2 linked regions of the Stegostoma tigrinum genome follow. The protein of the gene in region 1 binds, or shares a complex with, the protein of each later gene. Links are inferred from orthologs where the notes say so. Each region holds a gene or a part of one and is shown on either strand. Other genes may lie near its edges. The genes, in order: annexin A4-like and tardbpa.

Evidence for each region.
Region 2: the proteins of annexin A4-like (region 1) and tardbpa are in contact, whole or in part, in a cryo-EM structure (PDB 9FOR), measured with the Homo sapiens proteins. The link is inferred for Stegostoma tigrinum from reciprocal best matches to the Homo sapiens genes ANXA11 and TARDBP. Residues at the interface, in NP_001148.1 of Homo sapiens: Gly56, Met57, Ala59, Met61, Ser62, Gly63, Phe65, Asn69, Pro71, Asn72, Leu73; in NP_031401.1 of Homo sapiens: Ala328, Leu330, Ser332, Trp334, Gly335, Met337, Gly338, Met339, Ala341, Ser342, Gln343.

The regions. Positions count from the first base shown.
Region 1 is NC_081390.1:18,821,376-18,828,808, forward strand, and holds the start of annexin A4-like, read left to right. Parts: upstream 1-4,303; 5' UTR 4,304-4,455; intron 4,456-4,874; exon of another isoform or gene 4,875-4,942; intron 4,943-7,433. UniProt on the Homo sapiens protein: Binds specifically to calcyclin in a calcium-dependent manner. Required for midbody formation and completion of the terminal phase of cytokinesis.
Region 2 is NC_081381.1:39,737,704-39,745,706, reverse strand, and holds the start of tardbpa (TAR DNA binding protein, like), read left to right. Parts: upstream 1-4,804; 5' UTR 4,805-4,974; coding exon 4,975-5,212; intron 5,213-8,003. UniProt on the Homo sapiens protein: RNA-binding protein that is involved in various steps of RNA biogenesis and processing.

The sequences.
Region 1 (7,433 bases):
ATTTCAAACTCTGTATTAGTATGTTGACATTATTTTGGTTCACGTGCCAGTCTCTTGTCTTCTGACCTAGCCAGTATCCCATTTGCCCTATTACTGTTTCTGTCGAATATTTTTCTGTGTACATGATCTTATCTATGTGAAACCTGACAACCAGATCCCACAAATCTTCAAATTATACCAGTTGTGGCTAACACACTTCTGTGAGAGACACCCTGGACATATTTTGTCACATGTCTTTGAGTCTAACCCAGTGATATTTTAATGGAGAGTGCATGGCAACATGGAGATCTCAACTCAACATGTTAGTTAAATAGTGCCGTAAGCAAATTGCATTCAGGAGAATGGAAGCTTCTATGTGGCTATAATATCATGTATAGTGTTACAATTAAAAAATCAAAATTAGGATGGGTGTGAAGCAAGTAGCACAGATGAGTTTAAAAGAGGATTTCAAAGACTCACTGTGCACTCTGAAAAATGTAAACAGACAACTGATGATAGGAAAAGTTTACAGGTAAATGATTAAACTAACAGAGGTTCTTTATTGACTTTTGGTAGGGCCTCATTTCTATTTGTCAGATAATATTTGAGAAGCAGCCCATAAATCAAACAATGATTGTTCTTTCAATTAAGAAGAGGCAGAGTAGGAATCAGGATCCGTGCGAATCATAGAAAATGGACTTATTTTTAGATGCAGTTGTAAGAGCTTAATGTATATCACTTGGATTTGTTGAACCTTGGAACTATTTATAGACAATATTTTTAGAATGAGTGCTGGAAACTGTTAAAGTTTATGTGCCTTTCAGTGGTACCACAAGTCAACCTTATACAAAGACTCTCATTCACAAGACCCATGAACACATCTTTCTTTGGTTGTGTCTACACTTCAGACATCAGACTGGGAAACTTGGCGATGTCTCGCTCCTAATTGAAATTATGAACCTATGCAGAGAGCATCTTGCTTAAAAATAAATTGAGCTCTGTTGTTAAGCCATACGGATTAGGAGAAAGCTATACTCTCAACATATTTCAAAGTCTAGGTCAGTTTGAAAATACCCAGAAGATCCACAGCAATATTTAAATACATTTGTAACCCAGGTTGATGCCACAAATGAGTGACAACGTGGTTCTCTCCCTCAGAGGTTTCACACCGCTCCATTCTGAAGTCAAATCTAGATCCAGTTCTGGAGTTATGCAGTCAATTTTGCATTGTAACAGTTAGGACAGTATCACAGTAACATTATATCTCCACCCTTTGTGTATCATATTGTCTTGTTGCTCCCACAGCAGAACAAATAATATGAACAACAAAAGACTTCTTCATGGAGAGATAAGATTCTTTAAAGAAGTGACATTACTTTCATTGTAACCAAACCACACACAGGAATTCTTTAAAGTTCTCTTAAGCAACCAGAACTCATTTGATGCAATTCCTAAAATAAATTATTTTATTCACAATGAGATCACATTTTTCAGGAACACAATAGCAAGGTTGCTTTTATATTATTCAATTTCTTGTAAAATTTACTCCTGTTCAGCCATTGATTGGATAAATATGTAGCGATTGTCCAGGAAGCAGCTTGGGTGGAAAAACAGAGTTAATATTTTAGGTTTGTGACATTTCTTCAGAGCTGGAAAATATAACAGGATTTAAGCAAATAGAAAGTCATAGAAAGGAGAGAGAGGACGATACAAAAGTGACGGTTTATAACAGGGTGACAGGTGTTATAAAAATAATAATTCTGAAACAGTTAATGTTGACATTGTATTCATCTCTACCCAATCTGATAGTGTCTTCACTGGAGAATCTGGCATTCTCGTTTGAGATCTTGATAGGGTTAGAAGACAAAGCTGGCTCTTGATAGACACAAGCAAATATGCCTGATCAGTCAATGTGGCTTGTATCTATTTCTGTTATGTAGGATAAGTGTCCCTGCATGTTAGAACTCACCAGGGGTCTATCTTCTGCTCTCTTCTGACTCATTGCTGCAACTGTCCAGCGATCATTTCCAGATGATAGATGTTTATGCATTTCCCAGATTAGATCATAACAGTTGGCTTCCTTTGAACAAAGGCTTTTTAATGTATGAAGTGCAAATTAGTAGAAACATGTTTATTCTCCATCCCTAGTTCAATTGAGATAATGGAAGTGAATTTCTGTTATGAACTGCTGAAGTCCTAATATTGTCAGTATTAAAATACTGTTAGGCAGGTAATTTTTGATCCAGGGATGAGGAAGTAGAGGCACATTTACAATTCATAGTTTGTGCCATTTAAACATAATAATGTTCCCATGATTTTGCTGCTGTTTTTCTCCATCTTGGTGATGACAACAAGGCTGGGCAATATTGTCAAAGCAAGCTTGGCAATTTGCAGTCTATTCTGTAGGTGGTGTGTACAGTTTACTCCTGTAACAACAGTGTGCCTCTGATGAGGTCTAGTGTGTTAAGGGGGACATATGAAGATACACTTCATTGGATTTTTTGTGAGAAAGAGCGAGAAATGTTTATTTGCCCTCTGAGACAAACACTAGTTTGATTATTTGTTCATCATGTTTGCTTGGTTTAAAGGGTCCCTGATATTGAATTTAATTGCCTAGACCTGACAGGAAGGACACTTATTTGCTTCCTGCTTTCTGTATTTGTTATATTTTGAATCAATGTACTAGCATTTAATGAGTCATGCATATAGGGACCTAAGCCCCTCCGTCCCCTTCATAATTTCTAGCCTCTTGCCATTCAGATAGTATTACAAGATCTTCGATCCTTTATAGCTGGTTACTGGGTTTTGCCAATGCACTCTAGGCCCAAAACGTCAGCCTTCTTGCTCCTCTGATGCTACTTTGCCTGCTGTGTTCATCCAGCTCTACACCTTGTTATCTCACTAAAATGATATGTCTTTTGTTACTTGTATATACTGCATTCTTGAAAGTGCTGCCTCTCAAATGGGGGCCAGACCCCTTTCACACTTTGTTCGAGTGAGGTATCAAAGATCCTGTGTCACTATTCCCAAGAACAGTAGCCCTGGCTGATATCGAGCTCTCAATCAACAACACCGCTTTCTGCTCATTATCACATTGCTGCCTTCTGTAAGACGTTGTTGTGCACGTTTACAAAGAGACAGCACCCCTGTTACAAAGGAATGTAAAAACAGTAATTATTAGAGAAACTCAGCAAGTCTGGCAGCATCTGCGGAAAGAGAAACAGAAGCAGAAGTGAAAAATGATCACTGGACTCGAAATGTTATCTGTCGCTCTGTTCATAGATGCTGCCAGACCTGTTGAGTTTCTCCAGCAGTTTCTAATTTTTAAAATTTGATTTTGACTGGCTTTGAATTATTATTGTCACATGTACCTAGGTACAGTGAAACGTTTGGTTTAGTGTGCAGTATGGGCAGATCATACCACACAAAGTGGAGAAGGGGCTCTAGGCCCGAAACGTTAGCTTTTGTGCTCCTGAGATGCTGCTGGGTCTGCTGTGTTCATCCAGCTTCACACTTTATTATCGAGGAATATAATGTTACAGCACAAAGAGCAAGATCAGCATCAAATTTGAAATTTGGGAGGTCCATTCAGAAGTCTAATAACAACAGGGAAGAAGCTGTTCTTAAACCTGTTGGGAGATGTGTTTATGCTTTTGTATCTTTTGCCAGAGGGAAGAGGTTGAAAGAGATTATAACGTGGGTGGGAGGGGTTTCTGTTGGCTGCCCTTCTGAGGCAGGGAGAAGTATAGATGAAGTCAATGGATGGAAGGCTGGATTAGACTGGAGTTTGTAACGTCCTGGTCAGAGCAGTCGCTGAAACACGCTGTGATGCATCTGTTTTTGTTTAAGGTCCCCAGCTTGTTTGTTTTGTTTCAGTGTTATACAAAGGGGCATAGTTTGAGTGAAATGCTACCGCAATTTTTCTACTCTAGAACACCAATTTGATAAAGAGCTTCATTGACTGTTAAGTGCTTTGGGACGTCCTCTGACTGCGCAGGTCCTTATCTCCTATTTTCTAGCAATTGTACGAATAATTTCTCTTCCGCAGCAGGATGAGATGTGAGGTTTCATCTGTAATGTAGCAACTTTTGTACGGAAGCTTGTTACAATTTTTTTTTAACAGAGGCGCGCTCAAGAGAACACGACTGACACTATGGACTGAGAATTTCCCCCCCAAATAATTACATAGCCCCTCTGAGATGACTCAGTCTTTCAAAATAAAGTCCCCGCACTTCCTTCTTCAACTTTACAATGCAGATAATATCAAGGCTACAACTGAACAAATTCCACGTCCTCTTTTTCCACCGTCTAATTTGTTGCTTTAGCTTCTGACGTTGTGATGGGCGGGTGGTATTGAGTAGGAAGGTCAGCTGAATAGATTTACGTCTATTTTAGTATACCGAAAAAAACAGGGCGGACGAGCTAAGAAGAGGAAGAAGTCTGCGGAACTTGCTGTACGGATCAAGCGCCTTGCAGGTAGGTGAAAATACCATCCCGATCAAAATCTGATTTGTTTTCTTTCCCGAAACAATGTATCAGTTCGTCCTCGATGTAATTGCTCTGCTCATTCTCTCTCTCCCCGGCAAAGCACATTCGCTAAACATCGCAGCTCCTGGTTTGAAACGGATTATGGTTGTGCTGGGGTGGGACAGGGGTGTGTTTGGTTGGGGTGCTGGTATGGGGATCGATGCTGGCGTGAATCTATATCCCAGTGATTAAAAGACGCTTGAAACTCACAAGGAGCAAGGAGATGGGCAACTTGCCAGCTCTCCTGTTCCCTTGCAGTTTCTTTTTATGATGACCATCGCCCGTTTGAAGCCTTTCCTTTTTTTAAGTATCTAGTGTGGCGACACTTTCTCTGAAAGCAATGCCTATCACTTAATTTCTGATTTCAGGAAAGCCAATTGATTACATCGTCTAGTGTCGACTGATCGACTTGAGAGTCCTGCAGTTCTCCTGAACAGTAAACCGCAAGCGTGTGTATCTGTGTAAAACTGTTGATTGTTTTCCCCTCATATTCTGGTCCAGTCTTGAGAATGCATTCTACTTGGCACAGAAATGATGAGCGTGTTTTAGAGAAAAAAAATCTATCAACCTATTTAGACGTCTGACAGTTCTGTAGCCATTGAATCTTAAAGTGATAATTGAAGCCTTGTGGTCTAGAAATAGGAGCACTAACAATTTGTTACAAGATGCTCAAGTCTTTTTTAATGACAATATTAGCTAATATTAATAATAATATTAGATAATATCAGAGGGGAATCTTGAACATGATCACATTTACCATCTTCTGGGTATTAAGGAGTGGGTCTGGTCTCCTGTTTTAATTTTTAGCAAAGTTATAGATTTTTTAAAAAAAACTCGCCTCTTTTGACATGTCATGACGCACCTCTGGAGCAGATGGGACTTGAACCTGGATGTTTTTTGGCTAGAAGCAGGAATGCTACCACTCTGCAACAAGAGCTTCAAGCACATGTTATAAGACAATATGAATCTTTTGAAGGGGATGTGACAAATTGCGCAGCTCAAACAGCCTGTGTAAGCATACCCAGCACCTTCAGGGTGTTAAGGTGTAGTTCTGCCCTACTGCTTTCATTTAAACAAGTTATTGAATGGAATTATCAGCTTCACCTCACATTGAATGGGATGAATCATTTATAAAATACTGGATTAGCCTCAATTTCCTTCAGTCCCAGTTAGCCCAGCATTTGTTGTGCGTCCCTAGTTGTCCTTTCAAAGGCTTGTTAAGAGTCATCTATGTTCCTATGGGCCTGGAGTCACATGTAGGCCAGACCCAGGTAAGGACAGTTGAGTTGTTGCCCAAAAGGACATTTTCCAGGGTTGGAGGGTTTGAGCCACAGGGAGACGCTGAACAGGCTGGGGCTATTTTCCCTGGAGCATCAGAGGCTGAGGGTGACCTTATAGAGTTTGTAAAATCATGAAGGGCGTGGATAGCTGAATAGCTAAAGTCTTTTCCCCAGGGTAGCGGAGTCCAAAACTGGAGGGCACAGGTTTCAGGTGAGGGGGCAAAGATTTATAAGGGACAACATTTTCATGCAGAGGGTGGTGCATGTGTGGAATGAGCTGCCAGTGGAAGTGGTGGAGGCTGGCACCATTACAATATTTAAAAGGCATCTAGATAGTTATATGAATAAGAAGAGTTTAGATGGATATGGGCCAACTGTTGGCAAATGGGACTAGATTAATCTGGAATATCTAGTCAGCATGGATGATTTGGACCGTAGGCTCTGTATCTGTGCTGTACATTTCTATGCCTCTACCAAACAATAGTGCTTCCAATTCTGGGCACCATATTTTAAGAAGAATATGAACCTTTTGGCGAGACTGTAGAAAAGATGTATAAGAGGATATTACAGGGATAGATTGGAGAAACTGGACCAGCTTCCTCTTGAGAAGGGAAGATCAAGAGGAGATTTGTTAGAAGTGTTCACAGTCATGATGGTGTCAAGATAATGGCCATTATTGGCAGAAGACTTAACAACCAATGAAAGGCAAAAGAATCAAAGCCAAATTGGGATGGTAAACCTTTTTATTCCACGAGGTTTGTTGTATCTGGATTGTGATCCCTGAAAAGGTGATGGAGACCAATGCAATCAGAGCTTTTGAAGGGGATTGAATAAGCAACGGGACAATAGATGTAGGCAGTTCTGTTTAGTGCCAACAACAGAAATTGTTGGAAAAAGCCAGTAGGTTCTAAAGAATGGTCACTGGATCCGAAACGTTAAACTCTGATTTCTCTCCACGGATGTGACTGCTCCCGTTGAGCTTTTCCGTCAATTTCTGTTTTGGTTTCTGATTTCCAGCATCCACAGTTCTTTAAATTTGTAGTTTTCCTTAGTGCCCTGGCCAATACCTATTCCTCTAGCAATATCACACAAATAGATTACCTGCTGTGCATATTACTGCTGCTTGTGAGAGCTCGCTGTGGACAGGAAACATTTGGATGGTTGAGTATAAGGGCTGGGAGTCAGATGAACCGAACTGTACTTGCAAAGTTCAAACATAACCTTGATGAGTTGAATAGCCTCTTTCAATGCTGTTACCATTCTGTTATTACCTTTGTTTATCCGTGGAATATTGCTGTATTTCAAGGATTACTTATAATTGGAAATAAAATACTTTCGTACTCCTAAGTCTGACCTTTTAAAGGTTAGAAGGTAGATAGTTTTGTTCAAAAGAACTGGTTAGGACCAGTGCAGCTTGTTCTTGCCTCTGCTCAGAGCTGGTATGAACAAGTTCAAAGCCAAGCTGCAAACATTAAGGCAATAAACCAAGAACCAATTGCCAGGTAGACGATTCATGTTGTAGAATATGTTTTGAAAAGCATCGCTTTCAGTGTTGGTCTGAAATGTTAGGCTCTGTTGAAAGAAGCACAGCTGAATGTTAACAGAAACTACGTCAGCCAAGACCTTCCTTCATAGAAGCTCTCATGG
Region 2 (8,003 bases), on another chromosome or scaffold:
TTCCTAATTCTTTTGCCTCCGTCACATCTGCTCCCAGGATGAAACATTCCACTCTCATACATCCCAGATGTCCTCGTTCTTCAAGGACTGCAACTTCCCCCCCGCAGTGGTCGAGAACACCCTCGATTGTATCTCCGTAATTCCCCCAACTCATCCCTCACACCCCGTCCCCGCAATAACCGCCAAAAATGAATCCCCTTTGTCCTCACATTCCATCCCACCAACCTCCGGATACAACGCATCATCCTCCGACACTTCTGCCATCTACAATCCAACCCCACCACCAAAGATATTTTTCCATCCCCACCCTTGTCTGCCTTCTGGAGAGACCACTCTCTCTGGGACTCCCCTCCAACCCCAACCAGCACCTTCCCCTGCAACCGCAGGAAATGCTACACTTGCTCCCACACCTCCTCCCTCACCCACATCCTAGGCCCCAAGATGACCTTCAATATCAAGCAAGTGTTCACCTGCACATCTGCCAATGCGGTATACTGCATCCGCTGTACCCGTTCTGGCTTCCTCTACATTGGGGAAACCAAGCGGAGGCTTGGGGACCGCTTTGCAGAGCACCTACGCTCGGTTCGCAATAAACAACTGCACCTTCCAGTCGTGAACCATTTCAACTCCCCCGTCCCTTCCTTCGACAACATGTCCATCCTGGGCCTCCTTCAGTGCCACAATGATGCCACCTGAAGGTTGCAGGAACGGCAACTCATATTCCGCTTGGGAACCCTGCAGCCCAATGGTAGCAATGTGGATTTCAGTAGCTTCAAAATCTCCGCTCCCACCACTGCATCCCAAAACCAGCCCAGCTCGTCCCTGCCTGCCTAACCTGTTCTTCCTCTCACCTAGCCCCTCCTCCCACCTCAAGCCGCACCTCCATTTCCTACCTACTAACCTCATCCCACCCCCTTGACCTGTCCGTCCTCCCTGGACTAACTTATCCCCTTCCTCCCTCCCCACCTATACTCTCCTCTGCACCTATCTTCTCTTCTATCCATCTTCGATCCACCTCCCCTTCTCTCCCCATTTATTTAAGAATCCAGTCCCCACCTCCCTTTTCTGATGAATGTCAGCTTTTGTGCTCCTAAGATACTGCTTGGCCTGCTGTGTTTATCCAGCTCCACGCTTTATTATGACACATCACCCATCTAGTTTGCTACCTATCCCATGTGGCTCACAGTCGTGACACCTTTATTATAAAATTCTGAATTGAATTAGCTTTTTGTCACATGTATGAGTACAGTGAAAAGTTTACAAGTCACCACTTAAAAAGCGCCATCTTAGGTAGAAGATATGATACCTTGATTTTAAAATTCTCATTTTTATTTTCAAATTTTTCCACTGCCTCACTATCTCTATTGCTTCAAGATTGTCCAGACCTACACACTTTCAGATATCTACATCTCTCAATTCTCGTCTCGTAAATATTCTTATTTTGAATTGCTCCACAATTGGTAGCGGTGCCTTCATCTGCCTTAGTTGTTGATCCTTTTCTCGTCTTAGCGGGTTTAAGTATTCAGACCCAAGAATCTTAGAAATAATGAGACCGGACTTAGTTAACCAACCAAAAGGAAGTGGTGAGGGGAGGTACTGTTGAAAAGAATCCAACTTGCTAATGAACTCAGATGCATGAAGTTAAAAAGTACTTACATCCACAACTGATTCAACCATGTGAGAGGTAGTCTTCAGAGGCCAAATGAGTCATCTCTCTCTCTCTCACAATTACAGTAATCAATTTCAAAAGTCACTGTCCTATATACAGTATAAACCTGCACATGCTGAATTGGGGATGGATTCTCATTTTCAGGTCCTCATCAGGACTTGGTTTAGATTACAAATTAGGCAGTTGTTCAGAGTATTTAGCTGTTAGCTAATTATTAGTCATGTTTATCAGGTCAGAGACATCGAAGGACATGCTCACACATCTGTCTTTCCAGACTTCCAAGGCCGATTTCAAAAACATTTTAATCACCCTCTTTTCTCTTAGGTCTGATAAGGCTATCTAACTTAATCTGGGAACAAGGCTGTTCTCATAGTTTAGCAATCTTGAGAAAAACAAGAAACAGAGAGAAAATGCTGGAGAGACTCAGCAGATCTGGCAGCATCTGTGAAAAGAGATTAACAGACTTAATGTTTCAGGTTTGATATGACCGTTAGAATCTTAGTCTTACAGTATAGAAACAGATCATTTGGTCCAACTCATGCATGCTGACCAGACGTCCCAATCTGATCTACTATCATTTGGCAGCATTTGACTCATATCCCTCTAAACTCCAAATAAAAATGAAAAGAACTGCAGATGCTGTAAATCAGGAACAAAAACAAAGTTGCTTGTTAAGTGGTCTAGGCCCAAAACCTCAGCTTTTGTGCTCTGAAGATGCTGCTTGGCCTGCTGTGTTCATCCAGCTCCACACTTTGTTATGTTGCTGGGAAAGCTCTGCAGGTCTGGCAGCAGTTGTGAAGAAAATCAGAGTCAATGTTTCAGATCCTATGGCCCTTCCTCAGAACTGGACCAGACCCCCGCAGTGGTCGAGAACGCTCTCGACCGTGTCTCCCGCATTTCCCGCACCTCATCCCTCACACCCCGCCCTCGCAAAAACTGCCAAAACAGAATCCCCCTCGTCCTCACATGCCACCCCACCAACCTCCAGATACGACGAATCATCCTCCAACACTTCCGCCATTTACAATCCAACCCCACCACTAAAGACATATTTCCAACCCCACCCTGGTCTGCCTTCCGGAGAGACCACTCTCTCCGCGACTCCCTTGTCTGCTCCACACTCCCCTCCAACCCCACCACACTCTCCTCTCCACCTATCTTCTCCTCTATCCATCTTCGATCCACCTCCCCCTCTCTCCCTATTTACACCTCATCCTACACATGCGACTGTTAAAAAGTTAGCCCTCAGATCCTCTTTAAATCTTTACCCTCTCACCTTAAACCTATATCGTCTAGTTTTGAAACCTCCCACCCTTTGAAAAAGAGCTTGGCTATTCACCTTTTCCATGCCCCTCATGATTTTATTAATCTCTAAGGTCTCTGATGCTCCAGGGGAAAACGCCCCAGTCTATTCAGCCTCTCCCTATAGCTCAAACCCTCCAGTCCCAACAACATCCTTCTAAATCTTTCTGAACCCTCTCAAGTTTAACAATCTCCTTCCTATAGAACAGCAACCAGAATTGTACACAACATTCTAAAAGTGGGCACCAATGTCCTGTCGAGCTACGACATGACATTTTACCTTCAAACACAACGCACTGACTAACGAAGGCAAGTAAGCCGAATGCCTTTTTCACCACCGTTTCTACCTGTGACTGCACTTTCAGGAACTTCAGTCATATTGGGCTTGAAATATTAACTTTTTTTCCTCTCCAGAGATGCTGCCAGATCTGCTGAGTTTCTCCAGCATTTTCTGTGCTTGTATCAGATTTCTAGCATCTACAGGAGTATTTTGATTTTATTTGAGAAAATCAAGCTCTCTCTCCCTGCCACTCTATGTCCCGAAGCTCGATCGACCAGATCGGTCAAGTTTAAAAAATCTATATATACCATCATGGCTGGATAGCCAACGCAGGTCTGAACGTCAACTACAGTTTATTCTACAGGATCCATATCCAACAAGGTTCTATGCCCCCAAATCCCCTTCCGAAGGCTCTACCTTTGTTTCTTTAAAACACTCCATACAACATCCCTCTGATCAAGTATGCAGCGTCCTAACATCTCTTAAAACAAAGGACAGAAACTGCTGTAAATACTCTGAACGGGTAGCAACTGGGAGCAAAGAAATAGATCAGGCCTTTCAGGTCAGAACTAGTTCAGCAGCAATTAGTTTTTATTTCAGACTTCCAGCATCCAATGTATTGCTTTGGTCGTAATGTGTCCTTCTGTGGTTCAATGCCAAATATTGTCCACTATGCCATAAGAGGTCCGTCTCGAGGAAGGGAGAGACAATTGGTTTGATAGCTTGAGGGGTACCACCCTTGAGCAGGTCCCAAGTCTACCTCAGTCAGGAACAGACGCTTGGTGTTACTAAAGCAAATGCTAGCCGTGCAGACAGACCTAACCAGCGCCCTTGTAGGACATTAAGGTTGCCATATAAATGCAAGCTGCTAGTGTACATTTACCTCAGCTGCAAAAATATCTGTAAGGCACAATTCACTATTGTTGTCACCAAAACAATGAAGTGATTGAGTCACTTTCAACTGTTAGCTATGCTCACAGGGAATATTTCAGAGCTGTCTGCCCTAAGAAAGAGTGTTTTCTTTATAGTCTTGCCCTGACATTAAGGTTAGGCCGAGCTTTTCCAGCAATTTTTGTTTTTATTAAAATTAGCAACTGTGCTGAATTGCATTGGAATAATAACCATTAAACATTGACAAAACGATAAATTCTTCATAGAACAAGGATTATAACATTTACATTTTCACCCATTTAGGTGCCAAACTCCCTTTGTGTAACCAGACACCTTACCAAGCAAGGAGGGCGCTTCCATCCTAATACAGGGGAGATTAATAAAACAGATATAACAGCCAGCACGAACAAACACGACAAACATTTTGCCTTCAATCAATAAAAATGAGTATAATGTATCTCATAATAATGAATTAGAATAATGCATACATCAAGCACGCAGGAGGATTTTTAATTAACAATATGCACACTGACCCCCCCCAGTAACAAATGAAAGACGCCCACCGTGAGCCTCATGTCATGTGGTGGGCTGACGTTCAACGCGCCAGACGGTGACGTTTCGCACAGACTTTGATGACGGAGCGTACGAACGCCCAGGCAGAGCGCGTGTAGTGGGGTTGGAGGAGCCATTTTGTGCGCGCTTTTCATCGAGTGAGGAGGCAGCTTGTCGCTGTCCCGTCAATCCGCCGCCGCGCTTCACTGTTCATCAGGGCTCGTCCCTTCTCTTTGTTTCTCTCTTTGTCTTGTTCCCACCCCAGCTTTTCACCCTGGCGATGGCAGAGTATATCCGTGTGGCGGAGGAGGAGTCGGAAGAACCGATGGAGATCCCGAGCGAGGACGACGGCACGGTGCTGCTGTCCACGGTGACGGCGCAGTTCCCGGGCGCCTGCGGCCTGCGATACCGTAATCCCGACAACCAGTGCATGCGAGGCGTGCGCCTGGTGGAAGGCATCCTGCACGCCCCGGACAATGGCTGGGGCAACCTGGTCTATGTGGTTAACTACCCGAAAGGTGCGGCCCCCGTGGTGGGGGGAGGGGATGGGGAGCGAGGGTCGGTTCGCGCTGAATGGCGGCGACGGTTTACTCCCTTTCCCCAGGGATTTGGAGGCGGGGGGCGCGGTGTGCTTGGCGACGGAGAGGAACGGCAATCTTTTTATTCAAAATGCATGGTTTTTTTTTATTTAGCGACACCGTCCCGAGAGCCTCGCTTCACCGCTCGTCTGCCGGTGCCCAGCCGCCATTTGCTGAACACGCCGTCGCCTTGTGCTTTCAGCTTGCACAAGCAAATTAGTCTGATTGGCTTCGATCAAGCGTTAAAGTCGTTCCGCTAATTTCCCCCCCGCCCCGGGCTGCAGCCTCTGAGTTCTCCTTCTCAAAAATCGGGAGTGAAAGCTTATTTACTATTCCTAACTCTCTTTTTTTGCTTCCCTTATAAGCTGCTGGCTTTGTGCTTCAACTACGCGACCGCCATTTATGCTCCGCTTCCATCCCAACCAGTACGCCCAACGTTGCCGTAGTCCGTATTGGTTCGGATATATGAGTAGCAGTCCATAAAGATTTACTGGATAGAAGTCTACAAAACCAGAGCATTTCTATGCAGTAGCCACTGCTGATATCGGGGTTGATATTTGCAGTTCTGATGTTTTAACTTGTCTTTTGTAATCGTTTTAACTGTTGATTTCCTTTTTGGGGGAGGGGGGGTGGTAACCCGTGCTGAAGATCTTAAAAGCTCAAGTTTTATTGCTGTGCCCAGGCACAGGCTGAATGTCAGAAGGATTTCATTGTCACCCTTTTTCAGCAGTCAGACAGCTTCCTCTGATAAAACACAATACAGTTGCTGGAGATTTGCAAAGAAACAAAAATTGTCAGAGATTTGTCAGGTCTGGCAGCAATTCTCAAAAGGTCGCAGGGCTAAAAATGTCAATTCTGTTACACTTGCCTCATGTTGCCAGACCTGAGTTGCTCCATGAACTCTTTTTGTTTGAGTAGATTATTATGCTGCTTGAGGCCAATATGAGCCAAACTCATTGCTATGGGTCTGGAGTGATGAGGATCAGAGATTAGGAATGCTGCACATCCTTACCTGAAAGGTGACAATTAGCCAGATGGTTTTTCTAGAATCCAGTAATTTTGTGGTCATTATTAGTTTTACATAGTAAATTTGGTTACTTAACAAAACTAAAATTCCCCAGACATGTAATTCTAACTCTCTAAAGTAATGGACCTCCTGAATTTATATTAAACACTCATCCCTTGTTTCAAGTAATAAACTGCAGCAGTGCCAATGTTCTAAGTTATTGAAATGTTTCTGTTACCTAATGGACTGTTGTTGAACAGAGACCTTATGCTTCATAGTTCTTGAAAGTGGAGCCCCAGGTAGATAGGATAGTGAAGAAGGCATTTGGAATGCTTGCCTTTATTGGTCAGTGCATTGAATGTAGGATTTGGGGGTGGGGTGGGGGTTAGGCTCATGTTGCAACTTTGAGACATGGGTTAGACTACTTTTGGAATACTATGTGTGTTTGTAGTCTCCCTAATCTAGGATGTTGTGAAATTTGAAAGGGTTCAGAAAAGATTTACAAGGACGTTGTTAGGATGGGAAGGTTTGAGCTATAGGGAGAGACTGAATAGACTGAGGCTATTTTCCCTGAAACATTCTAGGCTGAGCGCTGACCTTTACAGAGTTTATAAAATGATGAGCGTGTGAATAGATAAGGTCTATTTTGGCGATTCCAAAACTAAAGGGTATAGGTTTATGGTGAGGTGGGGAAAAATTTAAAAAGGGCCTAAGGGGCAACAGGACCTCACAGCACCAGGGACCCAGGCTCGGTTCCAGCCTTGGACGACTGTCTCTATAGAGTTTGCACGTTTTTTTCTGGGTGCTCCAGTTTCCTCCCACAGCCCAAAGATGTACAAGTTGGGTGGATTGACCATGCTCACTTGCAAATGGTGTTCAGGGATAGGTCTGGATCGGATGTTCTGAAGGTCGGTGTGGACTTGTTGGGCCAAAGAGCCTGTTTCCACACTAGGCATTCCATGATCTAAAACATAGGAACAGTAGGCAGTTCAGACCATTGAGCCTGCTCTGCCATTCAATGACATTGAGTGATCCTCAACTCTGCTTTCCTGCCTTTTCCCAATAGAATTTATGTTCTGAAGGTTTATTTTTCCCTTAAGTATACTTGATTGCCCTGCCTCAATAGCCCTTCAAGGAAAAAAAAATTACAGAAATTCACTGCCTTCATAAGAAATTTGTCCTTGTCTCTGCCTTAGATATGTGAACTCTGACTTTGAGATGATGTCCTCTGGTCCTAAACTGACCCACAAGGGGCAACAACCTTTCTGTACTACCCTGTCAATGCACTGCGAATTCTTGTACATTTTAATAAAGTCAGCTCTGCTCTGAATTGCAGTGAATATGGACACTATCTACTCAGCTTCTCATAAGATTTGGCTGTTAGCAGGTGATTGCCAACAAGTATCATCGTCCACCTGGGAAATTCTGTGTCACTGGGCATGAGATATGTGGGTCTTTGCATGGTTGGTGCCAACTAAATGAACCTTATATAGCCTGCCTTCAGTGCCATTATATCTTTCCTTAAAGTGTCCAAAACCGTTCACAGTATTCCAGCAGTGGTCTGACTGTTCAATAGCTTTTGCAAAATCATCCAACTTTTATACTAATTTCCCATTGCAATAAAGGCCAACATTCCGTTTTATTTTCTCTGTTGCTCTCAAACTTTGCTTTTTGTGATTTGTGGGCAAGGACTCCAGATCTCTTGCATTTTGCAGTGTTTCTCTA